Mytilus edulis: one gene and its partner. The main gene of each other region encodes a partner of the protein of the gene in region 2 in a complex. Links are inferred from orthologs where the notes say so. Each region holds a gene or a part of one and is shown on either strand. Other genes may lie near its edges.

Region 1 (6,849 bases), on a different chromosome or scaffold from region 2:
TAATATAAGAAACTGAATAGAACTATTTCATGAATGGACCTTGCACTTTCTACATTCACATTCAATAATTCATTCTTGCTTATAATTTGTTAAAGCATTATCCTACATTACCAATCTCAAGTAAAAAAAAAAAGAACATTATATAGCAACTGTCCTTAAGGAGGAAGTATAGAGTAAATGTGTTGTGATACTATATGTAAACTTTGTCCAATTTGTTATCTCGCTCACCCTTGTCCCTGGTGCTATCGAAAATCTGGGGATAACACCGATTTATTTATAATTATAATATGCTATTTTGTTACTTATGTGTAATAAGAATCTCTATTAATCAATTGATAACTGTTATGTTGGAGTTTTTTATATACATTCATTGAACATCAGACCTCCCCTGATCTCTGGAATTAGTGACACTGGACATAGACTTTGAATACACATATTTGTATGGAAAATAAATTTTACTATAAACATGATAAAGAACTATTATAGATAACAAATTGGACATTCGGTATTCCGTGACATTTTGGTCTCTTGTGGAGAGTTGTCCCATTAGCAATCATACCATATCTTTTTTTATATTGATTTAAAAAAATTAATTTATAGACTTCGTCCCCTTTCACAAGTAATGCCTGCCTCATATTAGAAAATCCTCCAGACTCTACCAGACTGTACAGATTCTGTTTAGTAAGGCGGTCAGATCTCTACCAGACTGTACAAATTCTGTTTAGTAAGACGGTCAGATATCCTCCAGACTCTACCAGACTGTACAGATTCTGTTTAGTAAGACGGTCAGATCTCAGACTGTACAGATTTTGTTTAGTAAGACGGTCAGATACCAGACTGTACAGATTCTGTTTAGTAAGACGGTCAGATACCAGACTGTACAGATTCTGTTTAGTAAGACGGTCAGATACCAGACTGTACAGATTCTGTTTAGTAAGACTGTCAGATCTCTACGAGACTGTACAGATTCTGTTTAGTAAGGCGGTCAGATCTCTACCAGACTGTACAGATTCTGTTTAGTAAGACGGTCAGATACCTTATTTCGGTCTGATACCCTATTTCGTTAGCTTAACATTAAAATCCGTCTGATACCTTATTTCGGTAAATGGACGGAAAGTCACAGGACAAAAAGTCACAAGACATAAAAGTCACAAATTTGGTAGGACAAAAAGTCACAGATAATCTGTTGACAATTGTTTGAATATAATATAAGAGAAATATCTTGAAATATTTACTTTTTAAAACATATATTCATATTCAAGTTTAGTAAATGTGTCATTATACTGGAAAAATTATAATTTATTTAATTTTAATCATGCAAAAGAAAGATTTCTTGGCACCATGAAGCCATTTATGTGTCGAGTCACTCATTTTGTTTTTTTAACAATTATTTCAACAGTCAGGGGACTTACTTAAACAAGTGATTTTCTAAATCACTGATTCAAGTAACATTATTTCCATAAAGGTTGGAAGTTAGAGTTGTCTTTCTTTAATAATCACCTATTTAAGTAGTACAAATTAATCACTAGAAGAAGTGATTTAATATTAGTGTAGCTTTAAATATAGAATACTAATGATCCAGGGACTAATTATGTTTCTTAACTTATCAGAACCAACATCTGTGTTGTCTAGGATGACCAGGTCATTTCAGGTGATGACCTTGTACTGAATCTAGGATAATGACATAAAAATCACTTGTTTAAGTATCAGACCTCAATTTCCTTCCCAAAAATCACTTCTTTAAGTATCATTCTTTTTAAGAACCCCCACTAATTTCAACACCCCCGAACAGTGAAATTTTTATCGCGAACAGTAGAATTTTATTACATAATCTGAAAGATGAAACCTTGAACTTCACAGGAAAAATACTCCCACTGCTGTGAAAAATCTTTTAACAAAGTATCAGTTCATTATGTAAAGCCATTATTATAGCATTTTTTCAACTAAAATAGAATTTTCAGGTAAATGATAGCATCAAAGGCATAAACCTTGCTACTTAAAAGAATCTTTTAGTTTTACTTAAATGTAACAGGCCTTTTTCCTGTTGAATTTGTTTGGATTGTTTTGCCTCCGTAAATACAGGAAAAATTTATTCTGTTAAACTTTAATTCCTCTTTAATTTTTGTGTTTCCAGTTCTTCTTTTCTCTGCAGCTTCAAACAACTTCGAGTTTCTTTTATACAATAGTATAAAATAACTTGACTAATAGTTTTGAACAAATTGTTTCAATTTATGATAACTTTGAAATGTCTTCCAGACATGAATATCCCTCTCTTCCATTTTTAATATATTTATTATCTGAGAAAAACTTTTCACTTACCTATATATTTATAAAACTTCTGAGTAGTTTTAATCAATTTATTTACTAATTGCGACAAATTCCAATATATTTCATGTTTTATTCCCGATCCAATGGCATTTTATTATAAAATCGGATATGGGTATGCATTGCCTACAAACGTCAATTTGACTAATTCGTACCCGTGCAGACACTGCCAACATTAAAATCACCAGACTAAACACAACTGTAATATACCTGACTTAGGTTTGGGGGACTAAAGACAAGTATATATATTGATCTATATTGTAAATAAAACGAAGAGCTAATAAAATTAATTATCATCCAACAACATTATGATTATTCATGACCTTTTTTTGAGAGGGTTGTTGTTATTGGAACCCGTCAAATGTATATCTGCATTCTGAGGTTGTAAACAAACGCTCAGAATAAAGAATATTTCGAACAATTTCGTCTGCAAAATAATATGAAAATGTAGGCTAAAGTGCGAAAATCGGAGTTGTACCTGTGTTTTGGCTTTGTCGGACATCAATTTGATCCGCTCAATGGCAGGAACCAAATCAAAAGCTTTTATACTCATCTTTTTTGTTTTGTTTTTATCTTAAAATGTCAAATGTTATCGTAAAATTGTATATTCTGATAATCTGGAAAATTTTCATGGACAGCGCCATATTGGATAGCAGCACCACCAACAATTTCCGGAAAAAACACCCACTTTAGATCAAGGGTACATAACTATTTTTCGCGCGTTTTTATTTCCTTAAAAATATTCCATTACCCTGAGACTATTAAAAGCTCGACTAAAAGACCTATAATAACATTGAGATACAGTAATCTCAGTATTTATATTTCTCAATCTATCCATATATTTCACAGGTTTTTTTACCAACCTGTTACCTATTCTGTATTTTCCACCTTTACCAGATGAACCACTTCAGTTGGAAAATCCTCTTGAAGTGTAGAATCCCTTATTATTGAATGTTCACTATTGGATTAAAAACATCTTCTTTATACACTTATATACACCGCCACCACACGTATTTAAAGTATTCAAACTGTTTAAGGTAAAGCGAGTAGAAATTTGCATACTAAGCATGAATTTAAATTATTTAACGGTTTATGATTCAACCACTCTTCTCTTAGTGGAGTGACCAAGCCAACAATTTTTCAACTTTAATGGACCACCCTACCTGCAGGCTAAATTATGACTTTTTGGAAAGAGAAATGTTTATTCTTTAATTTTTGCGAGGTTGTAGAATTGAAATAGGGTGCTTTTTTTTTTAATAAGGTCAAAGGTTAGTGATTGAGTTTTTCACTATTGTCAATTTATTTCGAAAGAGGTTATTAAACGCCTCCAAATAATACTTAAATTGTTTCTAAACAAGAAATTCATAATGAAATACATTTTCAACTTGATTTGAAAATAATGCGGAAACCACCATATGCACATTTTAAAGGAAACTCAGACTAGCAACAATATGAAAATAGAAGATGGAACAACCGACTCTCAATTCATTTATTTTTACATCGCATGTACTTCTAAAGATATATTTCTGAATTTTACGGCTTTTATAAAAAGAACCGAAGTCAATTTATTTTTTTGCTTTGATTTAATATTTATTGCCAGTCACAAATATTTCACAAGGCAATTTATAAATTAAATCAAATGAGTTTTATGATTGGACTTAAGTTTCAGCGAATATTCTATCTCTATGAACTTTTTAGGTTTTATGTGCCTTTGCCTTACAAAAGCACACACGGACCCCTTAGAAAGAGTGATTGTATGAGGTATTTTAACAAAAAAGGGCGCATGACAACTTTCGAAAACCTGACATCAGTCATCGTTTTCATCGTCGTCTTCTTCCAATATTGCTCGGTGAGTTAAATAATTTCTTCAACCATCAGACCCTAAATTCACATGAACAAATATTGGTATACGCGGATTTCTGTTGGTTGCATATACAATTGTTATATGCAAGATGTTTTCCCTTGTCCGTATACGTACAAACAAGGTCTTGAAGGAAACCTACTGACAAGGTCCTCCAAAGAAAACCATGAGCAAACCATTTTTACCCTCTTACCAACCAGAGTCTTTGGAAAGTTATGAGTCACTGGTTTAGCAATATGAGAATTCATTCAAACTTGCGTTTGAACCATTACACTTGGGATGTGCTGTAAACACGTGTTTTTACATGGGAGAATTTTCACAAGACTGGCATCCTTTGTGGCGGCAAACTCCACCCAAAGCTTGTTTAGATCATCATGAAGAAACCTAAACTTTCCCTTCGGATCATACAATGAGGCGATAAATGTTAACGGCGATTCCTGATCTCCCGTTTGAAAACATATCTGAAGATAGTATCACTAGCCCAGTATTCATCACTTCGGTGTTGACATTAATATCAATTATATGGTCACTTGTATAATTAACCGTTTGCAAAAGTATTAGTTATTCGAAATACTAAGGATTTTCTTATCCCAGGCATAGACTACTTTAGCCGTATTTGGCACAACTTTTTTGAATTTTTGTCCTCAATGCTCTTCAAGTGACAAACTTATACTTGTGTGGCTTTCTACATATTTTGATCTGCGCGTCACTGATGAGTCTAATGTAGACGAAACGCGCGTCTGGTGTATTAAATTATGAGGCTGGTACCTTTGATTTATTGTCATAAATTGGAAGATTCAAAGCATCATTTCCGCATGATACCATCATCATGGAACAGAGCTGAAGGTATTGGACCAAAAGTATATGCCAATATCCTACGAACATAGCAAGAACTATAAAGCACGACGGACTAATTTTACAGGATTTGATATGTGCCTTAACAAAGTCACCTGATTTGCACTTGAGTTTTGAGGTCTTAATCGTATCATCAAAAGTATTGAGAGGAGACCACGACATCGGACTTTAGAAGACATGGGTTACATCCGCTCCATGTTTATGTCTGATTGAAAACTCACCTGACATAAAGACAGATTTTACCGTTTCAGACAGATTCAACATATCCAATATGTAGGCCGGTGTCCACCTAGCATAGTTCGTCATGGTAATGAAAAAGTATTGCAACATTGCAGCAACCATTTGCAAATGTAAAAGCACCAACCCATTCCGTTCAACCCTAAGGTTCTGTAACAATATTTCAACTGCACGAAGAACTATATCCTAAAATTCGAAGGTTGGTGATAGATAGTTTACTAGAGTGTATTCTGAATTCTTCAAACAATAGCAGCATATGTTCTTTAAAATTCGAAAAAAAAACTGTTCAATACCTTCAGCGCTTTTGGGTGTTTCAGCAAATGAACTGTGACAGCCAAAGAACGCCTTTAATACATTAGGTTGATAATTACACGATTTTCGTCTTTGAATGCTTTTAAATTAAATAAAATAGCCACGAGAGTTTGCCTCATATACCAAAGTTAATCCTCGAACACGTCTGGTATACACTATGTTACATTTGAGCAACAGCATACAATCAATTGTCAAATGTTTGCACAGCATATTGTTGACCAGCACGTTTTGACATATCTAAACATTGTTTCATAGTTGTAAATATGATTGCCATGTCGCTAGGCCTGGCATCTATAACCGGAGCATAGGCTACAGACGAAATTTCAGATGAAGCCTTTTGTAAGAACCGGTCCAAAATGAAACAATTTGTTCAGTGCTTTCTGAAGAAAATGGAATCGAATCTAAGTTTTGTCTCGGAAATAATACCAAAGACAGGACAGATATATTTCGGTTTTCCATGAAACAAGACGCAATCTTCCCATAAACATTAGAATAAACAGAAGGTCCATACCGTTCTGTTGGCTTGTCGAAAGTTAAACATGCCATCAGATTGGTGTTTGAATCATTCAAGGTCAAAGATCTTTCTAGTCCCCGTTTGACCTTTATGGAACTCATGTGGGCGTTTAATGATTCGTTTTGATACTGACATACAACTGTAGTCATGAAGTGAAATTCATTTTTACCATCGATTGTTTCAGCATTTAAGTCAATATTTTTTGCTCCCTCTTGTATATTACGACCACCTTTTCTAAATAGATTGATACCATTAGGTACATAGAATATGTATTGGATTCTGTTTTTTAACAAATTTGCTAAACATGTCCGATATCTATGTACTTCACAATAGGATGCACAAAAACCATGAGAGTTTGGATTTTCAATAAAAAATTTAGAGCCAAACTCATGGTGTAATTGTAATGCCCAAGCAAGATGAAATGGGGTTAACAGGTTTATGTTTGAAGCAAGTCTGCATTCTGTAATTGCCAGGACTTTTCGCAGTTTGTCGACAGGAAGTTTAGAAACATTTCTACTATTTTTCAATGAACATCAAAATAACGAGGAGGTCCAGGTCATATTCATTGCTAAGCTAAAAATCCTCATTAAAGCTAATTTATAAGAAATACTGACTTGGAATGGCTTCGAAACTTTACAATTGGAAGTTGAAACATTTTAATTCGGAAGTTTGAAACATTTTAATTCGGAAGTTTGAAACATTTTAATTCGGAAAATTATGAAATTATCAATGTAATCTTTTACAA
Region 2 (7,323 bases):
TTAATTAATTGATTGATTGCTTGGTGATTAATTAGTTGATCGATTGCTTGGTGATTAATTGTTTGATTAATAGCTTGGTGATTAATTAATTGATTGCTTGCTTGGTGATTAATTAATTGATTAATAGCTTGGTGATTAATTAATTAATCCATTGCTTGGGGATTAATTAATTAATCGATTGCTTGGTGATTGATTAATTGATCGATTGCTTGGTGATTCATTAATTGATCAATTGCTTGGTGATTCATTAATTGATCGATTGCTTGGTGATTAATTAATTGATTGATAGCTTGGTTATTAATTAATTGATTGATAGCTTGTTGATTAATTACAACACTATTGAGTATGTTGTGATGGCAAGATTTATTAGTTGGAGGATGTCTGAACACAAAGAGAGAACCACCATTATCTTTGACAGAAAACAAGCAACTGTAGTCAATTCAAATAGGATAGAATTAAAATGCACAATTTAGTTGATAAAGAAGATGAACCACTTGACCAACATACACCCAATTTACAATCAAAGAATTCAATAAGTTGGTAAAGGTGTTAGTCTGACATGTCTGAAGGTAACTTGAAAGTTTAATTTGCCACACATCATGCAGATTGTTTTTTTTACATTTTAAATTGTTTAAGAAACTAGTTATGTAGCATTTATTTCATTTAGACTTAAAATAACATGCAATAAAATTTTTGGTACAGAAAAATATTTCACAAAACTTTTATAGTTAAGAAATAATTCATGGGGGCTTACATATTGTGATTTTACCACAAGTTGGCCCTTTATGACAAATATCTGCATAAAGGGACAACCTGTGATATATTCAAGCCCCATGAATTATTTCTATTCTAATACGACAAATACAGCAACTGCTTTGGATCAAAGCTCTCTAGGTGAAGGCATTATATGCCGTTCCTTTAAATAAACGCACTATTAATTTGATGTAAAAGAACAGAGAAAACTGAATAAGTGATATGATGTAACTATTCACAATAACATATTTAGATAGTTTAAGATGAATCTAAATCATGTGAATGATAATTGTCATGATTGTACTTATATGTCTTTTATGTATACAAAAAATGGCTTAAATAATACATTTTAGCATCGTTTATTTACATTTCCTTGTTGTGATGATTTTCGGGTTTAAAAGCGTGTAATTTCCCGTAAAATGCTTATATTCTGACGTCATCTTTCTATGATGTCGGTTAGCTCATTCATAAAAAGGCAAATGACGTGGGAGTAAGATCGGAACAGCCCAAACAATAATATATTCATATTTTACCACTTAGACGCTGGTGTGTACTCAAAGCGTTTGAAGGACGTCATGTTCAGAAGGTATTTGTTATGCAGTCTGCACCGTTAGCCACTAAACCGATGCCCCAGACTAGTAAATATAGTTTCGGACTAGTGAAAATTTTCAAAATGTTAAATAGTCATATAGGGAAAAGTTTTGATATTTAGTATCCAGACTAGTAGATGAAAAAGTTTTTGGCGCAGACTGGTTATGCCGAAATAACTACTTCAATTGCCAAGTTGACTATCACTGGTGCTGGGGTAACTAGAATTCATAAATATAGAAGGGTTGTAATGAAGTAGCCTCATAACGAATAACCTTAAAAATTCTTGCTATTTGACGTTAACAGTAATTTTTGGTGCATGAACATAATTTATTTTCTTTGGTTACATCTTCTGACATCAGACTCGGATTTCTCTTGAACTGAATTTTAATGTGCGTATTGTTATGCGTTTACTTTACTTCATTGGTTAGAGGTATAGGGGGGAGGGTTGAGATCTCACAAACATGTTTAACCCTGCCGCATTTTGTGCCTGTCCCAAGTCAGGAGCCTCTGGCCTTTGTTAGTCTTGTATTATTTTAATTTTAGTTTCTTGTGTACAATTTGGAAATTAGTATGGCGTTCATTATCACTGGACTAGTATATATTTGTTTAGGGGCCAGCTGAAGGATGCCTCCGGGTGCGGGAATTTCTTGCTACATTGAAGACCTGTTGGTGACCCTCTGCTGTTGTTTTTTATTTGGTCGGGTTGTTGTCTCTTTGACACATTCCCCATTTTCATTCTCAATTTTATAAACATGAAAAAATGTACACCGAATGCATGTCGTTTCGTAACCTGGTCGTTTCGTACTTGGTCAATTCGTAACTCGTTAATTTGTAACTGAGACGTTTCGTACCTGGTGTAATTATATATGGTTATAAAGTGTTAGTTAAAATTAATAAGTTTAAATGAAGCACTTAAAGTTATTATTTATAAATGACAATTAAAATGATCAAATTGTTAATCTAATAAAACAATATTGTAATCATGGTAATGGTTTTTTAATTTAAAACTATCTTAAATTAAAAAGAAAAAAAAGTCACTAATAGTAAATAAGCTTGTGATGCATGTCATTTCTTAACCTCACTGGGTCGATTCGAAATTTAAGCTTGTGATCGGTCACAGTTTCATCCGAAGATTGGAAAATTGGATGTTAAGAACGCAATCTGACTTATCAAGTTCTGTCGAAACAAAGCTTCACAAGGTATATATCGCATGTACAATGGTGTAGGCGGGAGAAAAGTAAAGTCATTGCGACATTTTGGTCTCCAAATAGTGAAGAAATTTAAACCAGACTTTTACTTGAAAAACTGTACTTGTAAAGTGTAAAATTATGTGCAATCAATTATTTAATAAATAAATATAGATATATATATATGCACCATGATGTGTACATCAATAGGTCTTTTTATCATTTTTTTAAGTAACCTACCACTCATACTATTATTTTATCTTGATATAAGGTTACAAAACATATCAGGTACGAAACAACCTAGTAAGTTACGAATCGACTAGTTACGAAAGGACCAGGTTACAAAAACGACATGTACCCATTTTCCCAAAACAACGGTAATGAAAATTTAATATTTGAGACCTCTGATAAATCACGATAAGGATATTTTGACGAATTGCAATGAAATCTTGACCCATTTGAGGCTAACGACTAACAGAAGCTTAATATAACCTCGGGGGGGCCACTTGCTATATAATTAGTGGTAGGGATGAGCCGCTGGAATAGGTCACTTTTTCATGCTCTATGATATATATGAAAAGGGTGGGAAATTCAGATGAAATATATCAATAGGTTGATATTATCACTTGCTTGATTATATCATAAGTATCTGAAACTAATCAGATGTCCGTATTTATTCTTGATGCGGTTAAACCACAGTCGTAAATGCATCAGTTATTTGTCAAACCAATTAAACTCTATTTATTCTGATGTGGTATTTCCACTGATGCCCGTGATAGATGCAATAAATCCAACTATTTTGACATTTGCACCTAATTATCATTCAAGGGTTTGTATACATAAAACAAAATAACAATTATTTAAAGAAATTCCATTGTGACAGCGTCCTTTACGAGGGAACGGCAATGAAACTTTTTATCAGTTTTTAATTAATATTTAAACATGTAAAAATCAGTGAAGGTGTTACACTCTGGGGTGATATTACATTTATCTGACCATAGATGTAATACCAGGCAGATCTATGATCTGACCAAACGTCTTTTACATGTATTGTATTTTGGAATTGAGATATCTTCATAATGAAAGATGTAAAATGGCCGGGCAATAAGAAAAAAGTGTTTAAGATATGACGAATTTATTGGAAAAGAAGGTGATTTTATTGCAACTATTTTGCTTCCTAAGAAGAACGTGATGATGAGCGGTGAAAATATTGAAATATATCTATAGGTCTGTTTTTGGTAAATTAATATATGACAAGGTATATATTTTTTATTAACAAAATATATGAAAAGGGTGGGGTACTTGATGTCTCAGCTGCTCACCCCTACCAAAAAAAGTTTGAAGTGGCCCCCCCGAGAATATAACCATTGACGACTGACGGTACCCTTGTATCTATATATAGGTGCTGTGACAGTGTGAGTCACTGAGTGTTTTCAAAATTAGTTCTTCCTAATCGGCCAATGAACATATCCCAATCACTTATTCTTCAGGCAGAAACAAAACAAAAGGGACCAGTCCAAAACAGATAAATTTTGATTTTTAAACATTAAATCATTACCTTGATTCTAAATAATGTATCTGTATGCAACTTATGGTAAAAAAAAACACGGACAATATATATTGACATATTTGTAAGGACCTAATTATAAGTATGTTCCCATGAAAAACATATCGGAAGAGATATTCGAGGAAGGGGAGAGAAACAAAATGCAACATTTTTTCCAAATCAAATATTCGTTTAATACTATTGCCACGATCTCTTGTAGATCGTGTGCCGTGTGGCCGTGTATTTGTAAAATGTAAGATCAGATGATAATTACCTAAACACGTTGGTGTTTTAGCTGTCTGTTTCAAAATTTAAAATACTGTGATAATTCATTATGTGCGGAAGTGTGTCCGGGGAAGTTTCAATTTTTCCATCTTTCTACTACTTCCGGCTTTCAGATTCTCCTCCCAAAAGTTATGGACTCGGGTAGCTCAGAAAAATCTAGTCCTTCAGCACCAATAAATTTTGATATTGAGGTAATATATGGCACATGCTATGTGTGATATAGTCACGTATTATAGTGTGAAGTCTTCACAAGTAGGTCTTAATATTTAAGTAGATATAGGAAGATGTGGCATGAGCAACTTTTTTAATCATCTATAATATTAAAAATGCATATTTTATCGTCATGCACCAAAAATGACTGTAAACATCATTTGGCAAGAATTTTCACCGTTATTCGTTATGAAAGTATATTGTACACCCAATACCATCATTACTACTCTCTTATAGATATTTCCATTTGTACTTGCTACACTGCATGGTATTGACGAGTCATAGAAAAACTCCCAAATGCCATTACAACAATCAATTGAACTTTCATCAGTTCAATAGTGGATCCATACTATAAATCAAAGTGACAGGCATGACAGACTCAGTAGTTTATTTCTGAGGATGAAAATATTGTAAATATTAAAAAGAGGATGTGGTATGATTGCCAATGAGACAACTCTCCACAAGAGACTAAATAACTAAGAAATTAATAACAATAGGTCACTGTACGGCCTGTCCAAATGTAAAACAATTCAAAAGAGAAAACTAAGGGCCTAATTTATGAACGAAAAAAATAGTATGTAACACATTAACAGTCAGGGGACTTACTTAAATGAGTGATTTTCTAAATCACTGATTCAAGTAACATTAATTCCATCAATGTTGGAAGTAAGGTTGTCTTTCTTTAATAATCACCTATTTAAGTAGTACAAATTAATCACTTGAAGAAGTGATTTAATTCTATCGTAGCTTTAAATATAGAATACTAACATGACTAATGATCCAGGGACTAATTATGTTTCTAAAATTATCAGAAACAACATCTGTGTTGATAGGATGACCAAGTCATTTCAGGTGATGACCTTGTACTGAATCTAGGATAATGACATAAAAATCACTTGTTTAAGTATCATACCTCAATTTCCTTCCCAAAAGTCACTTCTTTAAGTTTTATTATTTTAATAACCCCCACTAATTTCAACACCCCCGAGCAGTGAATTTTTTATCGCGAACAGAAGAATTTTATTACATAATCTGAAAGATGAAACCTTGAACTTTACAGGAAAAATACTCCCACTGCTGGGAAAAATCTGTGAAGAAAGTATCAGTTCATTTAGTAAAGCCATTATTACTGCATTTTTTTCAACTAAAATAGAATTTACAGCAAACAGATAGCATTTTAAAAAGGCATAAACCTTGCTACTTAACGAGGCCCGATCTAGAACGCGTTTTTGAATATTGCGCAACTCGGGCATTTTTCGGTAGTTGGTTTAACGGTTATAACATAACACATAAAATAAATATAAACAATACCTTTTCTGATTATTTTAGGAACTAAAATGATAAAATAAATCAATTTTTGATCGTAGTTTATATTTTATTTAAATTTATACTGTTATTATTGTTTACGACATAGTTTCGCGCCATTTACGGCAATGTAAACTATATCAGACGACATGCCTAGCAGAAAGAAGAACGGTCGGTTTTTGAAAAACTGTCAGGCAGAGACTTACAACAACAGATTAGACAACATATCTAGACCCGATTTATCCACAACTGATTTTGATACACCATCTACACTCGATTTTGATACTACTTTTACACCCGATTTTGATACTACTTTTACGCCCGATTTTGATACATCTTTTACACCAGGTTCTTTCCAACATGATCACACGTATCAATCCTCTGCATCGTTTGATGAGATCAATGAGTTCTATTTTTCTGGAAAATTAAAGCCAATAGGTTATACCAGACATGTGATTGACATTCAAACCTTTTTTGATAATATGAGATGTTCCAGATGTGACATTACATTGAAGTTAAAAGATGGAATTGGAATTTTGCCTGCTGGTTTATGTGGTCACCTGATTGTTCGTTGTTATAACTGTAATGACTTTGTACGTGTTGCCATGGGCAAAACCCACAATGCATCCCATGGGCCAAGGATATTTGATGTCAACACCAAACTTGCAACTGGTAAGTGCAAAAATAAAATCTGCACACCCTGTATATTTATACTTTATATTCACATGTAGCATGTTTACCTAGTACCAATTCCTGGACTGCAAATAATTATGATGTCTTGCGAGTGCTGCCTTGTAGTAGCATTAGCCTACTCTTTTTCGAAATCTACAAGGGTGTCTTTAACGTGCAAGAGGAATCCATGACAAGTCGCCCCACTCCTAATCGCCCCACTTTTTCACCAACTCGCCCCACTTTAAAAAAAAAACGCCCCAACCTGGATTACCAAATCGCCCCACTTTTTAAAAAATCGCCCCACTTGTGAAATGTGTTAAATCCCGTTAATATTACTCCTGAAAACTTGCCCCACTGAATGGAAAACGATAAAATCTAGATTAATATATTATTAATATATTATTAACCAGGATGAATTTAGTAAAGCCAACTCGCCCCACTTATGGAAAAAGATGTTATCCTGTTGTATATGAGTTAAATTCCGTGAATATTACTCCTGCGAACTCGCCCCTCTTATGGAAAACGATAATATCTAGATTAATATATTATTAACCAGGATGAATGTAGTAATGCCAACTCGCCCCACTTATGGAAAAAGATGTTATTCCGTGAATATTACTCCTGCCAACTCGCCCCACTTAAAAGAAAATGATAATAATCTAGATTTATATTATATTATTAACCAGGATGAATGTAGTAATGCCAACTCGCCCCACTTATGGAAAAAGATGTTATCCCGTTGTATATAAGTTAAATTCCGTGAATATTACTCCT

What was found. Proteins that work in one complex are often made in the same cells at the same time.
Region 1: vacuolar protein sorting-associated protein 8 homolog (region 2) and transforming growth factor-beta receptor-associated protein 1-like share a complex: the UniProt entries of both Homo sapiens proteins name them as parts of the putative class C core vacuole/endosome tethering (CORVET) complex. The link is inferred for Mytilus edulis from reciprocal best matches to the Homo sapiens genes VPS8 and TGFBRAP1.

What each region holds. Positions count from the first base shown.
Region 1 is NC_092350.1:13,596,069-13,602,917, reverse strand, and holds the start of transforming growth factor-beta receptor-associated protein 1-like, read right to left. Parts: upstream 3,012-6,849; 5' UTR 2,879-3,011; coding exon 2,804-2,878; intron 1-2,803. UniProt on the Homo sapiens protein: Plays a role in the TGF-beta/activin signaling pathway. It associates with inactive heteromeric TGF-beta and activin receptor complexes, mainly through the type II receptor, and is released upon activation of signaling.
Region 2 is NC_092357.1:11,539,933-11,547,255, reverse strand, and holds the start of vacuolar protein sorting-associated protein 8 homolog, read left to right. Parts: upstream 1-4,308; 5' UTR 4,309-4,493; coding exon 4,494-4,553; intron 4,554-6,000; exon of another isoform or gene 6,001-6,026; coding exon of another isoform or gene 6,027-6,549; intron 6,550-7,323. Other genes in the region: uncharacterized protein, read left to right, coding at 6,027-6,549. UniProt on the Homo sapiens protein: Plays a role in vesicle-mediated protein trafficking of the endocytic membrane transport pathway.